3 linked regions of the Lonchura striata genome follow. The protein of the gene in region 1 purifies or fractionates together with the protein of each later gene. This does not show direct contact. Links are inferred from orthologs where the notes say so. Each region holds a gene or a part of one and is shown in the gene's direction. Other genes may lie near its edges.

Region 1 (8,028 bases):
TTGCTGTTCCTGTTACATCAACCTGCAAATTGATGTACCTAAATTTTTGCTTAAACACTAAGTATAAATTTTATTTAAGGAGCTAATTACCTTTGTAAAGATTTTCTTTTAAGAAGGTTGGGGTTTGCTTTTCTGGGCTTTTGTTGATGTTTTCACATATGTATTATTGAACAGACCAACTTTTTCAAATCTTGAAGGACATAGACCACTCCTCTGTTGTGCTCCTCATCACTGTGGGTGTGATACTGCATCCAGTTGTTGCACTTGAATATTCTGTAACTCTGACACCTTGATAGATTCACTGCTACTATCTTGCCTCACATTTACTGATGTTACAATATGTATTTCCTATTAAATCCATTATGTTTTCTGGGCAATTTGTTCTTTGTTTCCTTATGGGATTTAGACAGCAATAGGTGGTGAGTGTCTCTTTTGCCACAAAGTTCTAGAAGTATCTGTCACAGCAGCAAATATTTGTAAGCAAAAGGGTAATTCATTAGCACAGTCTTATGAAACTGTTACAGCAGCTGAGACCTGTGCCATGACTGTATTTTACCACATAATGAAGGCTAAAAGCAAATTCCCCTGGAGGAGCAAGTTATTGTAAGGCTCTTCTGTATTTTAGCTTTATTTCTTGTACTTCCTCTTTCTGAAATTGTGTATCCAACACTTACACCGTGATGGGGAGTTGATTTAAGGCACAGAAATTGATTGATTTCTGTAGCTAAGATACTTAAGATTTCCTGGCAATCTTCCCACTTGTAGCCCTCCACACTGAGGACAATGAAGAAAAAAAGGGGTTTTTCTGAATTAGAAACTGCATTTGTTTGCCCAAAAACAACCTGATATGCATAGAGCTCTTGCAGTGTCATAAATGTTTGCCTGTGGAATGTGTTAAGGCTAACCTTTGTATCAGCAGTTCTTGTCACTCATAACAACATTCTGCCTTTTCATTCTAGGATGGGTTAACCTGTTACAAGGGTTGAAAGGTCTGTGCCTTCTTACGATATTATCTCTAACTAAAACAAACTTAAGCCGCTCAAAGTTACAGAGCATTTGCAGCACTGTAAACTGCACAAATTTCCACCCATTGCTTCACTGCATGAAGTGTAGTCAGATTACTCGTGATGAAATATTGTAGTGATGAATTCCCAAGCATATGAATGTTTTGAGACTTTTTTTTAGTCTTCTCTTGGGCTGGTCCTGAGAGCGTGTACAGGTTTGTCTGTATTGTTGGTTTGTAGATGCTAATGAGGAAAACCAGGCTTTTGTTCTCTCCTTTTTGTTTGAGTCCTTACACTCCCATATAGTGCATAGAATGCAAATAAAGAAATGTTGATTTGATATAATGTAAACAGCCTTTTCAGCCTAAGCATTCATAATAAATTTTTATAGTGTAATAACATGCTAAATCACTACCAGTCTGATGTATTGTGCAAAAAAGAAAAAAGGTGTAAACATTTTATTAATAAAAAGCTTTGTTTATAAATATGCTGGCTTATTTATAAATGCTTCAAAATTCTCCCCATCTTAAAAAATGGTCTCTATAGCAATATAATTATTGAAGAGGAATGTAAGCAATAGCTTACATGTACAAATGACTGGAATAGCTGTTTTCCAAAAGTCCTGACTACTGGTGTTCAGAAACTGGAGCTTTTCCCTGGTTTATGTACACACAGACAAAGGCAGAAGATCCTGTGCAAAGAAGGGATGGGGGGAAACAGCAGAGAGAATGCAGCTTTTGTGTAACACTTCCTTTCTTTGCAGCACCGTGCCTGAGAAACTGCAGGCCACACACAGGCTTGTCAAGCAGGTCAAGGCCTGACAAATTCTATCAGGGCCAAGTTACTTAATACATTGCTTTTACCTTAGACTGCATGAACTGCACAGTTCTCAACTGCTTTGGCCAGGTTTCTGTCAATCAAAACTGTAAAGTGCTTTTAATATCTGCATAGTGTCGTGGGTCTGTTGTGCTGGGAAGGGATCTTCTGTTGTTTGTTAATACAGCCAGCTGGTTGGTAGATTGCTTTTTTTATACCACTGCTCTGTTGCTTATGTAGTCCTCAGAAATATGGATTTGGCTGCAGTTAGCTCACTTGTCTTACATGATATCTAAAAGATGTGGTTTGCACATCTAATCTGTTGAGTTAATAACAGCCTTCAAAATCTAAATAAACAAAAAGTCCTGTTTCACATAAAAAGTTTGGGTACAAGTTTTTACTTAGCAAATGGCTGCAGTTCCTATGCAGGAAACCCATACCATGTCATCTTTTGTTTGATAGAGACCTGGAATAATTTAAATTTCTTGTTACCTGCAATTTTGAAGTTATGCTCTTAGATGTGAACAAACTGCTTTTGAATAGTGTCAGAGGGGTTTTTCTAAGATGGCATGAATGTGCATCAGGGAGAGCAAAGGAAGGTAGCCACAAGGAATATGCTGGAACAGAGAGAAGAAGACATTTGTATATGTTTGCATAGGGAGTCTGGGAACTAAATGCAAACCACCACCATTGTGTGGTTTGCATACACACAATGAGAATGTTTCACTTGGAGCGAGTCTTTCATAGCTTCTAAGGCAGAAATTTTGCAAGTGATGAACTTGTTCTTTAAAATTGTTTCAGTACAAAGCTTTCAAGTGCTGTCCAGCATTTCCCTGCAGTGTTCATCCCAATTTTCTCTTGTTAATCAAAAATCCATGTGGGTAAGAAGTTGCCTTGTAGTCTTGTGGCTGAATTGTTTCCAGGGAGAGCTGTCTGTGGAACAGGGATGGGGTATTGCAGGTCAGTGAATCTGACCTGAACAACATTAAATGTACACTCATTTTTTACATGCAACAAAAACCTGACAACTTACGTTCACTAGACTTCATAAATTTTCAACTTAAACAGTGCTGTGCTTTATAAAACCTTCAGCCTGGATGAAAACGTGGGCGAGTCCTTCAAATACAAACAGGTAAGTTCAGAGCTGCCAATTAGGGCAAGGTGATACATCTTGGCAAATCCTTTAAGAGGTTGATCATAACGCTTCAGGGGCTTCTTTGTACTTCTTTCAGGAAAAGTAGAACTCGGGAAAGGTCTGGGCAGCAACACTTAATAGTTGTTTACTTAAGGGTTTTTATTATGCATGACTATATGTTGTGTAAAGCTTTCTCTCTTAGTCCTCGCCGTTAGGTCACAATTAACTTACTGATCTATATAAAGCTTGTCTTTTCTACTAATTACTGGTCCAAGAATGCCTGGCTTACAAATAGAAGGTGTTTATAAAATAAGAGATTAGGTAAAGGAAAGTAACCTTCCCACAGTACCAGCCAAGAAGGCTGCAAAGTATGAGTGAACTCAATCCTCTCCTGACTTGAGATCTAAAATGTTATGACATAACCTGCAGTTTAGGCTAAAAATTACCCTCCCCTCCCCCCCACCAAGGAGCAAAAATAGTAAGACCATCCAAATCTAGTTTCCTGGAAAAGAAAATGCACCCCTTTATGATTTTATGTGACCATTCTTTCCCAAAAAAAGGAATTTAAGGAACAAGAGCACTATTTGAGTGTTTTGTCCTGCAGTGCTGAAGCTTTAAAAAAATCAGTCCTGTTGTCCTGGCTGGAAGGAGTTGGCAGATTTCACTTGTATCATGCAAAACTAAGGGTTTTGTACTAAATACAGGTATGGGTTTGGTTTGTTTTGGCATGGAATGAAAGACAACTGAGAACAAAAAATATGAAATTGGATGGGAGGTGGTAAAGCACATGAGCAGGAAAACAGAGATTGTGGTGGACAGGTGTGGTGTATAAACACTGCAGATGTGCTCAGAGCAGTGAATGCCACTGTCCTGCTTAGGGGTGTTAATTGTAACATACACATCACTCATTTGACATTGCTTTTACTGCCAGAAAGGAGAACAATGCTCTTGCTGTAATTCTAGATCTTTTCAACTACCTTATGCAGTTTTGGCATTTATTAAGTCAAATAACGTGATAAAAAGAATTTGCGTGAGGGAAAGGTGCACTGCATTATGTACATTATACTGGTATGAAAAACGAATTTTCTTTGGAAGCTTTTTATTTCTGCAAATGGCATCTCCTCCTGAAGTAATGTATGTATAAAGTTCAGTATGTATAAAGTCCAATGAACACTTTTTACTGTACATAAACTCCAGTTTTTAAGACCAGCATATTTCTGCTGCTAACAAGGGCATCCCAAACTCCTGCCTCTGACAGGTTACAGCAGTGCTTTATAAATTCTTAGGAATTTGTCAAATGTTTAAAACAATCTGAGGAGAGGAGCAAAAAGCTTAGTGTTGCTGTAATTACACTGGCCTAGGGCCATCAATAGAGCTGCACTATATGTTAAACCATGCTGTAAATTTCAAAAAACTGTTTTAAAACATTGGGGTAAAAACTAACCAACCAAAACTAAACACAAAAAAAAAAAAAAAATTCCCAAAACACATCCACCACAAACCACCCCAAAACAAACATAAAAACCCCAACGAGCAACCCAAAACTTTAAGAAAGGGGAGGGGGGATGTCTTAAAATCTGAGGTGACCTGAAGTTCTGGGTTTATTCATTAAAAAGCGAGTATTGCCTGCGGCTCGATGCCGGTTCCCAGGGCTGCCCTGGCGCTGTAAGGCTGCGCCCCGATCCTTGCGGGCCCGGGAGCTCCTCCTTTCCCGGGAGCGCTTCCCGGGAATCCCGGCGGCGCTGGCAGCGGGCAGGGGCCCGAGGGCTTCCCCTGAGGCCACACGGCGTCAGGCCTACAGTAACACGCTGCTTCACAAGGCTTTTATTGCAAACCACGCTTTCCAGTGACCATTAAACTTTGCTGATGAGCCCTCTTTGTTCCCGAAACGCTCCGGGCTGGCACCCCCGGCCCCAGGAGCGCCCGAGGAGCGGCGGCGCGGAGCCTCCCCCCGCGGCCCCTCACGGCGGGGCCGGGCTCACGTCAGCCGCCGCCGCAGCCTCTCCGCGGGCCCCTCCGTGCTGCATCATCCCGCCTCCCGCCCGCCCTGCCCGGCAGCGTGTGCGCCGCCAGCCGCCGCCCGACCTCCGCCCGCGCCTGTCCCCGCTCCGGGACCGCCGGGGCAGCGCGAACAGCCACCCGGGCCAGGGTGAAACAGCACCGGAGCGACGAGCGAGCGAGCAGCCGGCAGAGGGTGAACCAGCACCCGGGCGAGGAGTGAACCCGCCAGCGGGCGCGCCCCCCGCTCGCCTTCCCTCCTCCCTCCCTTCCTCCTTCTCTCCCCTCTTCCTTCCCCTCCCTCCCCGTCCCTTCCTCTCTCCGCCTGGTGCCGCCACCGCCGAGGAGGAGGAGGAGGAGGAACATGGCGAAAGCGGAGCAGGTCCTCAGCCTCGAACCGCAGCACGAGCTCAAATTCAAAGGTACGAGGCGGCCGCCGCCGTCCCTCGCCGCCGCTCCCGCGCCGGGCGGGCGGCGCGGCCGCGCTCGGGGCCCGCTCCCCGGCAGCCATTTTCCGGGGGCCGGGCACCGCCGGCAGCTAAAATGTCCTTCAGCGCCGCGCCCGCCGCCCGCCCGCGGGGGACCCCCGCGCCGCCCTCAGCGCTGCCGCAGCCGCGGCGCGGGGGGCCCGGCCGCCGCCTTCCCCGGGCGGCAGCGACAACACCGCGTGTGCCCGCCTGACCTTCCCGGGGGCGGCGGCCGGCAGCGGGGGACCCGCGGGACAGCGCCCGCCGCTGGGCTGCGCGCCCCAGGCCCCGCCGCGCGTCTGTGCGCGGCCCCGGCCCAGAGATCGGCGCTGTAATGTAGGACGGCGATGTCCGTGAGGCAGGACTGGGAACCCAGGTGCCACAAACCCTAGGAATTGATAAAGGGTTTCATCGAAAGACAAAATCGGGGAATTGCTAGCAGTGGAGCTGTTTAAATGTTCTGCGTGGCTCTTCGGTATAAAATCTAGACGGAGGCAGGATGTTGGGAATAAGATAACGAATAAGGGTTTTTTCTGAAATGTGTCCCAGGCGCTGTGGGGTTGTGATCATGTCTCTGGCCAAAAACGCGAGGCCTCTGGCCAGGTGCTGGGCGGCACTTCCTGGCTTTTCCTGCTTATTATTAGTATTATTATTATGATGATTTAGCAAGCTCTTTGGCTAAGTAAGTCACGAATAGTCTGCCTGTGCAAAAATCCATCTTTTAATTTATTTTAAAAAGTCTTGAATGGGTTTGGGCTTCCACTGGCATGGAAATTCCTGCCTTGCAGCCTGACAGCACAGCTGTAATACAATATTCTGGGATTACAAATAAGCAATCAGCAAGTTTATTTATGTGACCAGAGTCAGAGGTGTTTTATAGCTTTGATAATTATCTGGCAAATAAGCTTTTTTTAAAAAATAGGGATTTGTTTATTGGCCTCTGGCAAAAAATAATACTTCTTTAAAAAAAGCTTTCATGTACATTTTTAAATATAGAGGTAGTCTTTACCAGTTTTTATTAATAAATATATTTGAACTATTAATATGAAGTGAGTTTTATCTAACAGCCTGTTAATAAACACTGGGAGGAATGAATATATCTTTGTTGTAAGCTGAAGTTGTTATGGCAGCAGTATCAAGCATGCTTAAGAAGAAAACTATTGTTGTTTTGACGTTCTTTGTGTTAAGTATGATTAGATTAAAATCACCTCTTGTTCTGGACAAAATTGCTTTCAGTAAACAAGCAAACCCAAATCCAAGGTGGGCAAAAAGTGGGGCCTTAATTGGTGCTGACTTGCTAATGAGATGTAATTGTGGTTCAGGGTTTGTTTTTCTTTCTTTTCTTCATCACAGGTAGATAGAAACCTTGCCAGACTGTTTTTTCTTGAAGTAATGATAATTTGTCAGGCTGTCTTTCTTTCAGATGAGGTTCTGGGCTAAATAACTAGTGGCCATTGAAGTTAAATCAACTAACCATAGCGCTTTTGGTTGCCAGATCTTTAGCTAGTAACACATACTTCTTATAACATAAAATGCTGCTTGACTAACTGCAGCTATTAAATGGCTTAGTTTCAAAGTACACTTAAATATTAATGTTCAAACAGACTTAATGCTGTGGGCAGCATTCATATGCTTTGGCAATACCTCTGCCTTACAGTCCTTTCTAGCAAGCAGTGCTGACCGCTGTCCTTCATTCAGGAAACTCCAGGCTGAAGTATTCATGAAGTAAATTCTGCTCTAAGCATTTCTTGCCCTGCTGATCTTGTGATGACATACTGCCTGGTGACAGGGCTGAAATGATATTGTTACCTTTGTAAATAGTTGCATTTATTTCCAGAGTGTTCCTTGGCCCTGTATAAGTACATCCAGGCTGACAGAGGTCATGGAGCTGCTGACTGGTACAAGCATCCTCATGATGTGTGCTGAAAGACATGGTGTTCAGTGTAAGAAACTGAGATTGGGCTGTAAACCAAATACCTGAAATGGTAAAGGGCTGAATCCAAATGCAGGCAGGTAAAAAAAGCAGAAAATTGTTCGCTCTGAGGCTGTTGAAAAGCTCTGTGTAGCTCTTTAGTATAAAATTTAGAGAGAGGTAGGATGTCGAGAATAATACCATGAATGAGGATGTCTTCTATAATGTGTGCCAGTCACTTTGGGGTTGTAACCATGGCCTGCACTTTTAGTTTGTAAGGGTTGAAGTCTATTTTAAAGAAGCTTTTGTAGCCCCTTGGTTTTGCAGTGAATCTCATAAATTCATTTGGTGCTGTGTTTCAAAATACTTGTGCTTGTGTCTCGTTTGAAAAAAATATCAAAGGAGTTTTTCATGCTGGAATTTTTTTTTCACAGCATGTGAACATGAGCAGGGGTTGTCTTTCCTCCCGCCTCGCATCTCCTACAGCAGAGCACACATGCTCCAAAATAGCATCAGCGTGTGCTGTGCTGAAATGCAGCTGTGAGCCGTGGGAGGCAGGACACCATTAGGTGGCTGAAGGTGCCCACTTCTTGTCCTGGTCTCTGATACCATGTGAAATTGGAGCTTCACTGGCTTGCCAGTGACTTCCTCCACTTCTTGGTCATTGTAGGCTTGCAAAAAAATTATCCAGCTAAA
Region 2 (8,030 bases), on another chromosome or scaffold:
CTGGACCGAGATGATCTCTGAGGAACCTTCCAGCCCAAACCGTGATCCCAGGATGTGGCATCTCCTCCCTGGTGGGTGTGGGGGCAGCTGGGACCTCCTGACAACTACTCAGGAGCCAACCCACGCTGAGGAAAACCTCACACAGCTTTTTTCCTTCTGCCCAGCACATTTCCTTGGCTCTGTCCCTACGACCCGCAGCGTCCTGCTCGCACTGAGGGACCTGCCCGGGATCCACCGCAGCCCCGGGCGGGCAAAGCCCTTCGCAAACATTCATTATCCATCCTGGGGAAAGCCGTCCTGCCTTGTCACACCCTTGTCACCGGCAGCCAAGCCAGGGAGGAGCTAAGCAGGCCCTGAGCCAAGCGCCCCTCTTCCCAAGGGGCACAACACGGGACCCCCATTCCCCGGGATCGCTGCCCATCCCCTTTCTGGAAGGGGATGTGGAAGATGCCAAGAAAAAGCCGCTGCTGCAGCCGCTGCTCCAGCCGAGCCTCGGCACAGCCCTGACCCAGATTGGCTCCTTGTTGTTGTCTCCCCGGCCGGTGGCACCGAGCCGGGCATTCCCCGGCGCTGAGTGCGCCGCCCGGGGCACCCCCGGGCACCCCGGGATGTGCGGGCAGCGCTGCCCTCCGCACTGCCCAGCGCTGCCCTCCGCACTGCCCAGCGCTGCCCTCCGCACCCATCCCAGCTCCAGCGCTGCCCTCCGCACCTCCACATCATTTGTGGGACCCCCAAACACAGACCTTCCCACACCATCTATGGGGTTCCCCCAAACACAGACCCTCCCACACCATCCGTGGGACCCCCAAACACAGACCTTCCCACACCATCTATGGGGTTCCCCCAAACATAGACCCCCCCACATCATCTCTGGGACCCCCAAACACAGACCCCCCCACATCATCTCTGGGACCCCCAAACACAGACCCTTCCACACCATCTGTGGGACCCCCAAACACAGACCTTCCCACACCATCTATGGGGTTCCCCCAAACACAGACCCCCCCACATCATCTGTGGGGTCCCCCCAAACACAGGTCCCCCCCAATCTCCAAGCCCTGGCAGCAGCTCTGGGGTGCAGCAAAGCCCAGTGGGGATGGAGTCACCCCTGGCACCCACCTACCCCTGCCATCAGCTCGACCACCAGCCTGGGGCAGGCGATGCTGGAGCAGCCCAGGGTGGCCCCGCACACACGGGTGCACTCCTCGGGGTCCACACAGCCCACGGAGTCTGGGGGACAGAGGCAGGTGACAAGCTGAGACCCCTGACAGGGTGGGGGCCAGCCCTGCACCCCTTCCCCCCTCATGCCCCCTCCCACTGGGCAGATGTTGAGCCTTTGCCGTGGCCACCGTGGCCAGACCTTGGCAGGACAGCGGCTGGAGGAGCAAGGAGCACATCCCACCCGAGAGCTGAAAATCCTCCTCTGCTCCTCACTCCCACCCGCAGCTCCAACACCTCAGGGCCCGTCCCACCCCTCGCCTCCCGCTGCCCAGCCCAGTGCAGGTTGGATTTTTCCCACATTAAACCCAGTGACAGCTGCCAGGGGGAATCTCCAGAGCCAGAGGCAGCAGAGCCCCGGGGCCAGCCCGGTTCCTGCACCCCTGTGGCAATTTCCTGGGCATGGGCAGCACCAGCAGCTCCTGGGATTTGCGTGGCAGCGCTCCAGGACCATCAACACCCAATTATTTCTATGTCTCAACGAGTGATGAACCCTTTTTTTTTTTTTTTTTTTTAATTGTTACGCTCATAAAATATTGAAATGAATGGAAATTAATGTCAGGCATTAATATGGATGGGCTGCCCGGCTCTCCGGGCTGCACCCGCCCAGGCAGGAGCACGGGGACGAGCACGGGTGATCCCTGCACAGGACTGGCAGCACTGTCCTGGTTCTCCTGCCCGGTGACCTCCACCAACGAGCCCTCAGCCTCCCAGTTTGTCCCAAACACTGGTGGTGACACCTTGGCACCTTCCACAAAGGAGCACGGGGTGAGCTGCGAGCACGACTCGGTTGTGGGCAGACCACAGGCCGTGCTCAGCACATCCCAAGGATGCCAAAAAGCCCAGCCTGGACTCAACCCTGAGGTCAGAGTCAGCGCTGAGGCTCCAGTGACTCCTTCCTGCAGCAGCCCTGAGCAAAGCTGCCATCAGCGCTCTGTGCCTCAGTTTCCCCTCTCTAAAACACCACGTTGTGCACGGCTCCATGCAAATCGTTGGTGGCTGGAGGGTGGAAAACGTCCCAAAGGGCAAGGCAGCGTCTGGATGTTGTGTTCCAGCTGAAATGCCTGCCCCAGGCCTCAGCTCTACCGAGGAACACTCGGTGGCACCTCGGCGTGAGTGGGAAGCAGGATCCTCCGAGCCAGGAGCAGCGCTCGGTGTCATACCCCACTGCCTCACTCTCAGGCCCGCTGCTAAAAATGGAAAATTAGTTAGGACCTTGTAATTAATGCTTCCATCTGCAGGAAAGGGGCCGTGTCTGCAGCGGGTGCTGCCTGTCCAGCTGGATCCACCCGGGGACGCCTGGAACGATGAGGACCAACCTGCTCAGCCACAGCCAGCCAAGCCTGCAAACAGGGGCTGCACCCAATTCGGGGCCTAAATTCACCACGTGGGGTGAAGAAACGCCCGGGATGGGGAGATGGGGGACCCAGGTGAGCATCAGGTGGAGATGCTGCAGGTGTGGGGTTCTGCCACCCCAACCCGCCCCCGCCAGCAGAGCCAGCACATGGCGGCTGGGATGCAGCATTTACCCCACATGCAATAAATCATTAGTGCACACACACCCCGTGAAAGAGTCTGTAAATCTCCTGGCACAATAAAAACACCTGGAGCGAGCAGCTCAGGCGGCCAAAACCACAACACGCTCCTGCCACGCCACACACCCACACTCCAGCACCCATCTGGGCCATCTCCCATCACACCCAAAGAGGTCCTGGGTGCTGGCTCAGTGCTCACCTCTGTCCATTTGCTGTCCCCATCGCTGCCAGCAGCGCTGGGATTTCACCTAAAACACCCAGGTTTGGTTCCAGCCCCCTCAGTCTCTGCTGCAGCAGTCAGTGAGCAGGCCACAGCATGGGGATGTCATCCCACCCCTGGGAAATCCCTGCAGGGTCAGCCACAAAGTCACCAGCTCCACCTGAAACACCTCCTGAGCTGATATTCTTCGGGAGCCAAGCACTTGGATCTTCCCCAAGTTGATGTGGCACTTGGGGACGTGGTGTAGTGCTGGAGCTGGCAGCGCTGGGTTGGACTCGGTGACCCTTTCCACCCTTAGTAATTCCATGATCCCAACAAACTGCTGCCACATTCCTGTGTCCCCCAGCCCTGCTGCACCTCCTGCACAGGCCAGGCCAGGGCTGGGCACAAGCCCACGCAGGATTTGTCACTGTGGGACGAGCAGGGCCACTGTGCCTGCAGAGAGGAGCACTTTGATGGCCCAGCGCCTGGCCAGACAGGCGGCTTTGCCCCAGGAGCCTGACTCAGGCAGGGCCCTCATTTATCCGGCTGTGAATCCAGATGAGCCACGCCAACGCCAGGGACAGACACACAGCCCATGGCACTTCCCTTTTTTTGCATTGGCGCAAGAATCTGACCCCAATTCCTGAAATTCGTCTTCAGCTGAGCTTCCAAGAGAAAAGCTCAAGAGAGCTTGCACAGTTCTGGCTTGTGAGCACCAAGTGGTGAATCCAGGGTGGGGTTTTTTGTCCATCTCACTGTTACTAATGAGACCTGTCACAGCCAGATCTGGTGATGTGGCCGTGACCACGCTGTAGAAAAAGGGAGAGGACAAGACAGGACATGACAGGACAGAATAGAATAAATGGTTTCATTTGGAAGAGCCCTACAACAATCATCTGGTCCCACTGCCTGACCAATTGAGGGCTGACCAAAAAAATTAAGGGCATTGTCCAAATGCCTCTTAAACACTGACAGGTTTGAGGCCTTGACCACCTCTCTAAGAAGGTTGTTCCAGGATTGGAACACCCTCTACGTAAAGAAATGCTTCCAAATATCCAGTCTAAACCTGCCTCAGCGCAGCTTTGAACCTTTCTGGCAGCTCCCACTCGGTGCTGCCCACCCTGGACCCACCCTGGCTCCGAGCTCCTGCACCAGCACAGGAGGGGTTAACCACAGGACAGAGCTCTTTGGCTGGGAAATATTGACTTACCAGCCGGCACAGCGGGAGAGGGGGGAATCTCAGAGGGAGATTTAAAAAACAAATAAATAACGAAACGCCCAAACCCTCTGGAGCCGCCCAGGACCCTCCCACACCCGGGCGCTCCGGGGGGCTCCGGGCGCCGCAGGTGCGAGGGCGCACCAGCCGAAAGAGTTAATCGGGCTGGGCAGGGAACGTGTGAAGGCAGCATGTGACTGCAGGTGGGGCAGGGCGGAGGGATGAATCACTCTTTTCCTTTTCCTCTTTTCACTTCTCGCTGTTACCTGTCCGGCCCGGCACTGCGCGCCGGCAGAGCCCCGAGCCGAGCGCTGCCGGGGCGATGCGCAGGAGGCCGGGGCTCGGCGCCGAGCATCCCCCGCTCCTCCGGGAACGAGAACCGGCCACGGCACCTCGGCCGACACGTCCTGCTCCTCGCTGCCCTGCCTTTAGCCGCTTTTCCCTTTGTTTCTTCCCCAGTTTTTTTTATTTCATCCGGTGTTAGCGTTGTCTTGCGAGAGCGGAGGATGAGGAGGGAGCGGACGCGGGGGTGAAGGACCTTCCCGGTGCTGTAGGTACACCTGAGCTGTCTGCCCCAGCCTGCTGGGGGAAGCTCCGCGTTTTCCTTGCCAGAAAGCAAACCCTCCTCCCCGGCAGGAAGAGCTCCGGCGTGGCAGGAGCCGTTGGAAAAGGGAGCGGTGCCTCCGCCGAGCTGCGCGCTGAGCCGGGGAGGGTGAAGCGAACTGTGTGTTTAAGGACTGGAGAATAATTAATTCCTATTTATTGCCGACAACGCGGCGCTCGCCGGCGGCACAGAGCTCCCTCGGGACAGGGGACCGGCGTGCGGGGTCACCATGGCTTTCTCCCAGGTGCAGTGCCTGGACGACAGCCACGTCAACTGGAGGTCCAGCGAGTCCAAGCCCGAGTTCTTCTACAGCGAGGAGCAGCGCCTGGCCCTGGAGGCGCTGGCCTCCCGTGGCCCCGACGCCTTCTATGAAGTCCTGAAGAGGGAGAACATCAGGGACTTCCTTTCCGAGCTGGAGCTGAAGAAGATCCTGGACACGCTGGAGACCTACGACCCCGGCTCCGAGTACATCCCGCGGCACGGCAGCAGCGGCGGCGGCAGCGAGGGCGACAGGAACAGCCAGGGGGACGAGCAGGACGTGGCCCCGTCCCTGGAGTACTGGCCCCAGCGGTCCGACCGCTCCATCCCGCAGCTGGACCTGGGCTGGCCCGAGACCATCGCCTACCGCGGGGTCACCAGGGCCACGGTCTACATGCAGCCACCCATCGAGGGCCAGGCGCACATCAAGGAGGTGGTGAGGAAGATGATCTGCCAGGCTCAGAAGGTGAGGTGCGCCGCGGGGACGGGGCAGGATTGGCCCCAGGGCATCGTGCTCCAAGTCCTGCCCAGCCGGGCAATCCCTGTCCCGCGGGAAGCTCTGCCCGAGCAGAGGCAGCGGGGCCAAGCCGGCAGGTTTTGCCCTGTAACCAAGTGCTCGGGGGTCGGGTTTTGCTGGGGATGCTGCCAGCCGGGGTCAGCACTCCTGGCAGCAGCACAGCCCTGCCCAATATCCACCCAGCAGCTCTGTTCATCTTGGGGTCCCTGCAGGGCTCTGGGGAGAAAAACGGGTTGAGCTGTTCTCCAGCTGGTTCCAGCCACTCCACACTCGTTATTCCCGGTGTGACAGCATGCAGGAACCTGGGATTGTGTCCTGGTCTCAGCCCTGGGTCCACCAGCTGTCCAGTATTGACCCTGGGGTCATGGCCCGGCCTCAGTCCTCGTGTCCACCATCCGTCCAGTCCATGGCCCTGGAGCAAAGTACTCAAAGCTTCTGGCCTAGCACTGACCCACACGAGGGTCAAGCTTGGCCCAAGATGGCTGTGGGGCTCCAAGCTGGCTCACCCTGGCTCTCAGAGGACAAGGATGAGCTGGTGAGCAGGAGGGACAAGGCTGGGCAGATGCTGAAGGGATTTGGGTTGAGACTTGTCCTCCCTGTGGCACCAAGCCGAGGAGCAGGGAGTGGGGATGCATGAGCCATCACCCAGGGAAGGAGGGAGATGGTGGCCTGTGCTGAAGGCCAGCAGAGGTGGGAAAGTGCTGCTGGTGTTTCCCAGTGACCCAGTCCCAGGAGGGGTTGGTACCTGCTGGTTTCTTGGTGCTTTGAAGCTCCTTGGGTTCTGTGAATCCAGTACCGTGAGAGCTCCAAGGAAGGAGCTTCCCACCCCAGAGGCTGTTCCAGCAGGGAAACAGGGAGAGCCTGGAGCAGAGGGGACAGGCTGGGATGCACCAGGTCTGCCTGGCTGCTCCAGAGATAGTGCTGGGCTTTGCAGATCCTGCTAGGAGAGAGGGAAACCTGTGACATGCAGCCAGCAGAGCTTCTCCAGACCAGCTCAGGCAGAAAAATGAATCTCTCAAAACATCCAAGGCAGCGGGATCACGGGAATGGCTGTTGGGGGTGTCAGGGCTGGGGGCAGGAGCCACCTCTGGCCACTGTCACCTGGCAGAAGTGGAGGTGACTTGTGCTCACCTGTGACATTTTCCCCGCCAAAGGGGCAAAGGGAAGGGAGAGCTGTGGGCTGGAGGATGGGAGAACAATCCCACAACAAACAATGGCTCATCTTCGGGTCTTTGCCTACTCACCGCTTCCCAGCTGCCCCCATGCGGGCAGCTCCTCCTGAGTCATCCCACACCCTGCTCCTGCTCCCAGGGCTGAGTCAGGCACATCCCCACCTCCCCTGGAGCCTCTCCAGGACACGGGGACGTGGCCACGGTTGATGCTGCTGTGCTCATCCCCGGTTCTCCATGGCCCCTGAGCAGGGCTGGGCTCTGCCTCCCGCCCCAGACGGGCCCTGCCTGTGGGATGAGACATGGTGACACCACTGGGGACACGCAGGAGCCTGCTCGGAGCTTCTGGTGCCTCAGGAAACGTAGAGATGGGTGAGTGCTGAGTGCTGCAGGGTCTGGGGTGGCAGGAGTTACAGGAGTGGAGTTCTTCCATGGTCTCCCATCCCGTGTTTCAGCACAGATCTCCTTGCAGCTGAGCCTGCTGTCACACGGCAGAGCCCAGGTGACAACTTGTGGGTGCTCCTAAGGGTGGGGGACACTGGGCTAGACCACCCTGCTGATCTCTGCCAGGGCTCAAGGTCTTCGCAGCAGCTCCAAGGTGAAAGGGTTTGGCTGAGGAAGCTGAGAGTGGACAAAGGCACCGTCCTGCTGCCACCCTCAGATGTCACACACGCTGTCCGTGTGCTCTGTCCTCCCTGCCCCAGGGCTCTCCACCACGTGCAGAGGAGCACAGGCTTGGGAGAAGTTCACAATTCCCTGACCCTTGCTCCAGACGCCGTCCCAGACGCTCGCTCTGCTCTCGGTGCCAGTCGCTGTCCCATGGCCGGGAGAGCAAAGTCCTGCTGCTGGCCCAGGCGAGTTGAGAGCTCAGGAGAGCAGTGCTGGGGCTGGGAGGTCACCCAGGCTCCCAGGGTGAGGAACCCCAGGGATGTGAGGCTGCTCTGAGGGTCACAGGAGCCCTGGTGCTCACAGGAACGAGCCCAAACCCTGCCGAGTTCAGCGCCTCGGACCCAGGCGTGCCAGACAGGGAGATGCAAATGATCCTCTCCTCTTGCTGGGAACGAACAGGAGAAAGGAGAGGCAGGATCCTGTGGCCACATCCCTGAAAATCATCTTTGTGGCCCCCAAGCAGAGCTGCTGAGGGGTTTCACCCGGCCGAGCCGTGGCGCAGCCGTCTCCTCCTCGCTGCAGATCCCCGGGGCTGCCAAGCTCACAGCCTGGACACCAGGAACAATTTCCTCGTGGAAAAGCTGGTCAGGACTGCAAGGGGCTGCCCAGAGAGGTTTGGAGTGCCCATCCTGGAGGTGTCCC
Region 3 (6,987 bases), on another chromosome or scaffold:
CGGCTTGGTTAACTCATGAGCACAGCATTCAGGAGAGGAAAAACACTGTGATGGTGGCTTGACCTTGGCTGGACATGAGGTGCCACCAAGCCTCTCAATCATTTCCCTCCTCAGCAGAACAGGGGAGTTGAAAATAAAATGGAAAAATCTCATAGCTCAAGATAAAGGCAGTTTAATGAAAAAAAAAAAAAAGTTGTGTGTGGAAGCAAAGGAAACCAAAAGATTTTCTTGTCTTCTTCCCATCTGAAATAACATGTGACCACTTTCTGGGAAGCTGGGCCTCAGTATGTGTCCAGGTTACTCCAAAACACAAATGTGCTCTATAATAATGTCCCACTTCCTCCTCTCTCTCAGGTTTTATTGCTGAACAATGTCCTATGGTATGGAATAGCCCTTTGGGCAGCTTGGGTCAGCTGTCCTGGCTGTGTCCCTCCCAAGACCTTGTCCTTTCCTTGGGTCACCTTCTGCTCTCTCAACTTTTAAAGGGTGAGCACTAATAAGATTGGCAAGCAGAGGGTTTATTTTATCTACTAATGATAAAAGTCTATGTTATCACCAGAGTCCTGGGAGCTGGGGCAGTCTGTCTGTCTGCAGGGGCTTCAAGATGAGTAAGTCAGCCTCTGGCTCTTTTAGTAATGACATTAGGGGAGGATATGCACCCAAAAGCTGTATTTACCCTTGGGCATTTTCACCCAGAGCCTGCTCACATCAGAACTGACAAAAGACAGACACCTACAGCCATTTCCAGACCTCCCTGAAAGAGGAGGACAGAGCTTGCAGCCTGTATAGAACAGAGGCATCCAATGTGTGACCACACAGCTTCCACTGGCCAAGGTTTGGGATCAGACCCACTGAGGATAACTGGAAGGTGCATCTGATCAAAGAGAGAGGCCCTTCTTCAAGTGAAGATGAAGAGTGACCTGTTAGGAGTCTGTCTGCAGGTGCTGCATCCCCTCACAGATCTGATGGCTGCAACTGGTGCAGGTGTCAACAGAGGCCATCCTCAGGTGAAGGCTGAATCCCACACAAGCTCTACACCCTTGCAGTGCCCCAGCCTAGAAGCTCGTTCCCCACTCCCAGGGTAGCAGAGCTGTCCACTACTTTCCTACCCCAACTTTTCTGTCTGCTCTGCTTTTCTGGAGGAGTCCTCTGACTGAAGCCTAAAGAAGGAAGAGCAGGTAAAGGAAGCAATGGGTTTGAGCTGTTTTGATTGGGGTTTTGTCATGGGGAGCCTTGTCCAAAATCATTCTTGCAGCACCTATGTTGGGTTGTATTTGACAGATTTCAAACCAGCTCCTGCCCTGAGCCAGCCCAGAGGTGTTGTGCTGACCATGCCCTGTCTCCTTTCCCCCTGGCTGAGCTCTAATTCCAGTTCAAGTGAAGCTCCTGTGTTGGTCAGACAGCTCTGCCAGACAGAGCAGGAGCAAATGCTGTCTGAGTGGAACAGCACATAATGGCCAGTCCATTTCCCTCCCAGTCACTGCAGTTCCAGTAAAACATCACTTTGTTAAATGCCTGGAGCTGGAGAAAGCATCTCCAACTGCTACAGAAAACAGCTTTTTCTAGACAGCTTATTCCCATCCTAGAACATCTGCAGTGCTAAAGAGGGCTACAAACCCAGCCCTCACTGCCCACAGCAGAGCTCAGCTGTCAGAGGTGGCTCTGGGGGAGACGGGGCAGGGCTCACCCACACCAGGGCTCCGTGGGCACCCAAAAAGGCTGAATTCCCCCAGCAGTGACCCCTCATGAGGTGGTATTCAGCCTCAGAGATCTCTTTACCCCTCCTTACACACCTGCTCACTGTCCACAAGTGCCAGTACTTGTTTGGTTTCAAGCAATTACTACTGCAATTAAGCATATGAATATTCATGTACGAGACAGTGGAGTAGGTGTAGCAGGCAGCAGCCACGATTTATAAACGCCTCCTTGCTCTGGAATCACTGCGTGCAGACACTGTTCCCAGGCCTGTCTCCTTCCTACGCCTTGCAGCTAAAAAACACTTATCAGAGACTTACAATAATGCTTCTAAACATAAGATTTCTTTCCAGCATTTCTTCTGCATCCAAGGTCATTTGCATGAGAACAGCATCTTTAGGTTTTCCATCTGCTCCTTATTTTGCACCTGTAGTTAATATCTCCCTTTTTCATAACATATGACTCACTGGCATGGTTACAGGAGGTGATATTTGCTTACAGGAGACCGGTCCTCAACAGAGCCAGAATTACTCCACTGCACAGAAGGTCTGGAACGAGGCAGCTCTGCTCTCTTTGTTTACCAGCCCCCACACAATAGGCAGAGCAAGAAGCCCAGTCCCAGAGCCACCAGCTGGACCTCACCTTCCAGGCAGGATCCCAACCAGTTCTGACCTGCCTCTCTCCTCTCCTGGCCAAACAGGAGCAGTTTTTCAGTCATTATGCCCAAGAAATGAATACACTCAGCACTCCATCTCACCACCTGCTGCACGTCTGATGCTCATGTGTACATTGATTTTTTTCACAGCTCCGGGGGGTGTTACTTCATCCCCAGAAGCTCCTGATTTCAAGTTTGTGAATATCAGAATATTTTGAGGTGGAAGGACCCACATGGATCATCGAAGTACAACTCCTGGCCTTGCACGGAGATAGCCTCAAGAACCCTGCTGTGTGCCTGAGAGCGTTGTTCAAACACTTCTGGAACTCTGCCGGCCCTGGGACTGGGACCATTCCCTGGGGAGCCTGTTCAGTGCCCCACCACCCTCTGGGGGAAGAACCTTTTCCTAATTCCAACTTAAACCCCCCGACTGGGCTCCTGCCATTTCCTCGTGCAGTCCTGATGCCTCAGAGCCCTGTGAGACCCGACCTGCTGGCTCTCAGCGGCTCCTTCCCATCCCTTGAGCATCCCAGTGCTTTCCCAGGGCTTGGGATCTCCTGCCCCTCCCTAGGGGCTGGAGGGCAGACCAGGTGCTGGACACCACCACCCTTCCCAAGGCAGGGACCATCCCACAGGATCCCACAAGGATGGGGCTGGAAGGGCCCTCTGGAGAACATCCCGTCCAAGCCCCCTGCCAGGGCAGGGTCACCCGGAGCAGGCGACACGGGAACGCGTCCAGGTGCGTTCGGAATGCCTCCAGAGTGGGAGACTCCACGTCCTCCCCGGGCAGCTCCAACAGATCTCCGCATCCCTTCCCGACGGCTCCGGGCACGGACAAAGCAGCCGCATGCCAGATCACACCGCTTTGTTTCTTTAAGGTCAGCAAGCGCCAGGCACGGATGTCCCCCCGCGCCGCCCTCCCCATTCCGAGCACCGGGGCTTCCCTTGGACCTTCCCCGAGCATCCCGGGGGCGATGCTCCCGCGGGGACGCAGCTGCGGCTCACACCGACGGACTCGCCCAGCTCGGATCTCCCCCCGCCGCCTCCCCGGGCCCGAGCGAAACCCCCCCGGCCCCACAGGGCCTGGACCCGCGGATCCCCCGCGCCTCCATCCCGCGTCCTCCGGGCGGTGCCGCTGCCGTGGCGACCCGCCCCGCCTCACCTGCATGGCGCGGGAGAAGAAGACCCCCGCGTCCGACGCCAGTTTCTTCACGTTGAACTCCATGGCGGCCCCGAAGCCGCCCCGGCCGCGCCGCGCCCCCGCTGTCACCGCGCCCGCCGCGCCGCCGCCTCTTATAGCGGCGGGTGACACCTGCCCCGCGCCTCTTAAAGGGGCCACGGCTTCTTAGTGGGTCCGCGCGTTCCGGCAGCGCCTCGGCGGGCGGGGCCGCGGGCGGCGGGCGCGGCCCCTTTAAGCGCGGCGGCGGCGGCGGAGGGAGCTGTCAGCGCTCGCCAATAGGAACTCGCGCCGCGCTCCCCACCTCTTCTCTGCGCCACATCCCCGAGCCGGGCGCGTTCCGATTGGCGCGGCGGCGGGCGGCTCTCCGCGCTGATTGGCTGGAATGGGAGCGGGGGCAGGATCTCCGCTTGGCCCCGCCCCCGGCGGGGTGGGCTGCGGCGCGGGGGAAGGAGACGCTGCCCTTCCGCGGCCATGGCGCGCGGCGCGGAGAGACGGCGCCGAGCGGGGCCGCGCGCCCCCCCCGCCGCGGTGAGTGGTGCCGCCCGCGCCCGCTCGCTGCGGCCGGGCCCGCCGGGCCGCACCATCGTTAGTGGGGGGGGAGCGCCGAGCCGCGGACCCCGGCTGAAGCCGGTGATGGGGGTGGGAGGCGCGGCGGGTGCGGGACCTCCAGGTGCGCGGGCGGCGGGGATGCCCGCGGGGTGAATGCATGCGGGGGGCCGGGGGTCGGCAGGGCTGCGAGGCGCCCGAGGGCGCGGGGGGATGCTCAGGGGTGCGGGGGATGCTGCGGGGCTGCGGGAGCGCTTTCTGCAGGGCCCAGGTGCTGCAGTGCAGGTGCGGGGGGTCCCGTGGGACGCTCCCCGCCGGGCCGGGGGGCTGAACCCCACGGCGGGCAGGGCTGGGGGAGATGGCAAACAGAGGGGCTGCCTTGGTACCTCGGTGCCTGTACTCCCTGTCCCGGTATGGTAACCCCAGGCTGCTTTCTGCGCCCAAAATTCCCGGCACTTTGCTCTTCTCGTCCTGCCGTGGCCAGGACGTTGTGTTTAACCTTGTGGGGAGAGCCCATGTGCGGTGTCTGCGGGCTCCCACTGCCCGGAGAACATTCCCTGCGGTGCCGGGGCAGTGGGTGCGGGGAGGCGTCAGGCGGGGCAGGGCTTTGTCACCGCGTTCTGGGGTCACACATCAGTGCCTTCTGTCGCTCCGTCCTTGACCTGAGCACATCCCTCCTGCCCAGCCCCGCTGGCAGCGCTGAAACCTCCTGGGCAAACCCCCTTTGGTTGGTGGCTCTTGAGCAGGGCTGTGATGCACAGAAAACTGTGTGAAAGCAGTTTTGGCAGTGAAAATGTGTGTATGGTTATTTGGGATAATTGGGATTTTTTTTATATGGGGACTGCAAACAAAATCCCTCCAATCATGTGCAGCCAGGTCTGGTACATGTAGAAATCTCTGGGAGCTGTCAAATCCCAGGGTGCTGCTGCTGTAGAGCAGTTTGGGAATCTGTCCCCGTGGTTAGTAGGACAAACAAAGGAATTGCTGCTGGTGGTGAGAAGATATTTTACATTCGCTGCTCCAAGTGACATAAAGTGTGTTTTGTAAAGTGCAGGAAGGAGCAGGGCGGGTGTTCCCCTCACTCACCTGATTTCCCCCCTCTTCCCACAGGAGGAGGATTGTTGGATGAAGGCCAACTCCAGGACTCTGAGCCAGATGTCAGAGAAAAGTTGGATTCTTTTGTGAGCAGCTCACACAGCATCCACAAGTGCCCTTCCCCATTGTGGCTCCTGAAGGTGCCAGGATCCTGCTGCAGACATGGCATTCAGAAGGACAGAGGGGATGTCCATCATGCAGGCCTTGGCCATGACCGTGGCAGAGATCCCCGTGTTTGTTTACACGACCTTTGGGCAGGTACAAGGAGCAGGAAGGGTTTTCCTGTCACATTCCTTGGGCTGACTCTGTGGGGCTGACTGTGTGAGATGGAGGCACAGTGGGGTGGTGCTGGGGTTCCTGGGCAGTTTGAGGGATTGGAGGACTTGCAGGGGGAGTTTGGGGTGGTGGAAGAGAGTTGTTCTGAGTGGGCTTGGAGAGGAGAGAAAAGCACTTCCCACATCCCTCCCTGGGAGAATATCCATGTTCAGTCTTTCTCTTCATCAAAGGCTCTAAAAAAAGACTTGTCTTTCAAAGAACAGTAATATGTTCCCCACTTGTAGTGATGCAGCACTCGGAGCAGTAAAGCTCAACTTCACACCAATGTTTCAGAGCTGAATTTGGGTAACCTGCATTGCATCTGTCCCAGGCTGTGTGCAGATTTTGCAGTATGTTTTGGAAATGAGGATCGAGACCCAAGTTCTCCAGGTCCTGTCAAAATGATGCTCCACAGTCTCTTTGCTGCTACGTCTTAGTTGTGTAGCAGAGGGCGTGTTTTATGGGTGGCAGGGTAAAACCAAGGTGTTTCATGTTTAACACTGTTTTAAAAATTTAAAAAAACCCAAAAAACTGTGGAATTGGTTTTTCATTGTTGCTCTTCCATTTCTTTTGTGTTTACAGTCTGTCTTCTCTCAGCTGCGGCTCTCTCCAGGCCTGCGCAAGGTGCTGTTTGCCACGGCTCTGGGGACGGTGGCCTTGGCTCTTGCAGCTCATCAGCTGAAGCGGCGGCGCCGCCGAAAGAAGCAAATTGCTCCGGACAAGTGTGGCTTTAAACCAGGAGGGATCACAGTGCCCATCCTGCCAACCAGGAGGGTCTCCTCCGTGAAGAAAGGTTGGCCTCGCAAAAAGGGAAAAATCCCCAAGGAGGTTGTACAGGGAGCGATGGGGAGGGGAGAGCAAAGCCATTTTGTGTAGGGCTCTGATGCGGAACGAAGTGGGAATTCTGAAGAGCAGTGCCATGAGCTTGGGGTTTGGAGAGCAATGGGAGAGACTGTGAGCTCACAGTCTTGGGAACAAAAGGTGTGCTGATGTTTTCCCCGGGGTTTGTAGTTCCCATCCCATTTTCTGTAGGCTGCCCCAATAATAATGACCCGGGCATGCAGTGACCTGCGTGCATTGATCTCATGATGTCAGTGCTCAGCTGAGGGAAAGGGAGGGTGGCCTGAGCCAGGCTGAGCAGTTGGGACTGTCCATCCTGCTCTGTGGTGACTCCCAGACCTTGGGCAGCTTCCTCACCACTTGTACTGATTTTAGGGGTAAGACTGATCCAGACCCTCAGCAAAGCACTTGAGGGATTAAGCATTTGTTTGGTGAAACATGAAAATCAAGGGAGCTGTGTCCGTGTTCTGCCTGTCCTGAGGGAAGGTGGAGGAGTTTTTGCTTGATTGTTTCCACTTGCCTCTTGCTGTCCATAAGCAGTGAATACATTCCTCAGCCTCAGATCCCCACTGACACCAGTCTCAGAGCAGACAGGAGTTCTATGGCTTATTTCTAGGTATTGGATACTGCTTTGCCCATTCACAGTTACACCAGACAAGGT

Evidence for each region.
Region 2: the proteins of VAPB (region 1) and FAM83G purify together in Homo sapiens (affinity purification with mass spectrometry; 3 studies listed by BioGRID and IntAct, counting the BioPlex papers as one, with this or other methods). This does not show direct contact. The link is inferred for Lonchura striata from reciprocal best matches to the Homo sapiens genes VAPB and FAM83G.
Region 3: the proteins of VAPB (region 1) and MIGA2 purify together in Homo sapiens (affinity purification with mass spectrometry; 3 studies listed by BioGRID and IntAct, counting the BioPlex papers as one, with this or other methods). This does not show direct contact. The link is inferred for Lonchura striata from reciprocal best matches to the Homo sapiens genes VAPB and MIGA2.

What each region holds. Positions count from the first base shown.
Region 1 is NC_134619.1:3,419,422-3,427,449, forward strand, and holds the start of VAPB (vesicle-associated membrane protein-associated protein B/C), read left to right. Parts: upstream 1-5,000; 5' UTR 5,001-5,317; coding exon 5,318-5,375; intron 5,376-8,028. UniProt on the Homo sapiens protein: Endoplasmic reticulum (ER)-anchored protein that mediates the formation of contact sites between the ER and endosomes via interaction with FFAT motif-containing proteins such as STARD3 or WDR44.
Region 2 is NC_134618.1:15,831,108-15,839,137, reverse strand, and holds the start of FAM83G (protein FAM83G), read left to right. Parts: upstream 1-5,004; coding exon 5,005-5,499; intron 5,500-8,030. UniProt on the Homo sapiens protein: Substrate for type I BMP receptor kinase involved in regulation of some target genes of the BMP signaling pathway. Also regulates the expression of several non-BMP target genes, suggesting a role in other signaling pathways.
Region 3 is NC_134624.1:199,440-206,426, reverse strand, and holds the start of MIGA2 (mitoguardin 2), read left to right. Parts: upstream 1-3,961; 5' UTR 3,962-4,058; intron 4,059-4,122; exon of another isoform or gene 4,123-4,200; intron 4,201-5,186; 5' UTR 5,187-5,333; coding exon 5,334-5,429; intron 5,430-6,068; coding exon 6,069-6,279; intron 6,280-6,987. Other genes in the region: SH3GLB2 (endophilin-B2), read right to left, coding at 3,513-3,575. UniProt on the Homo sapiens protein: Regulator of mitochondrial fusion: acts by forming homo- and heterodimers at the mitochondrial outer membrane and facilitating the formation of PLD6/MitoPLD dimers. May act by regulating phospholipid metabolism via PLD6/MitoPLD.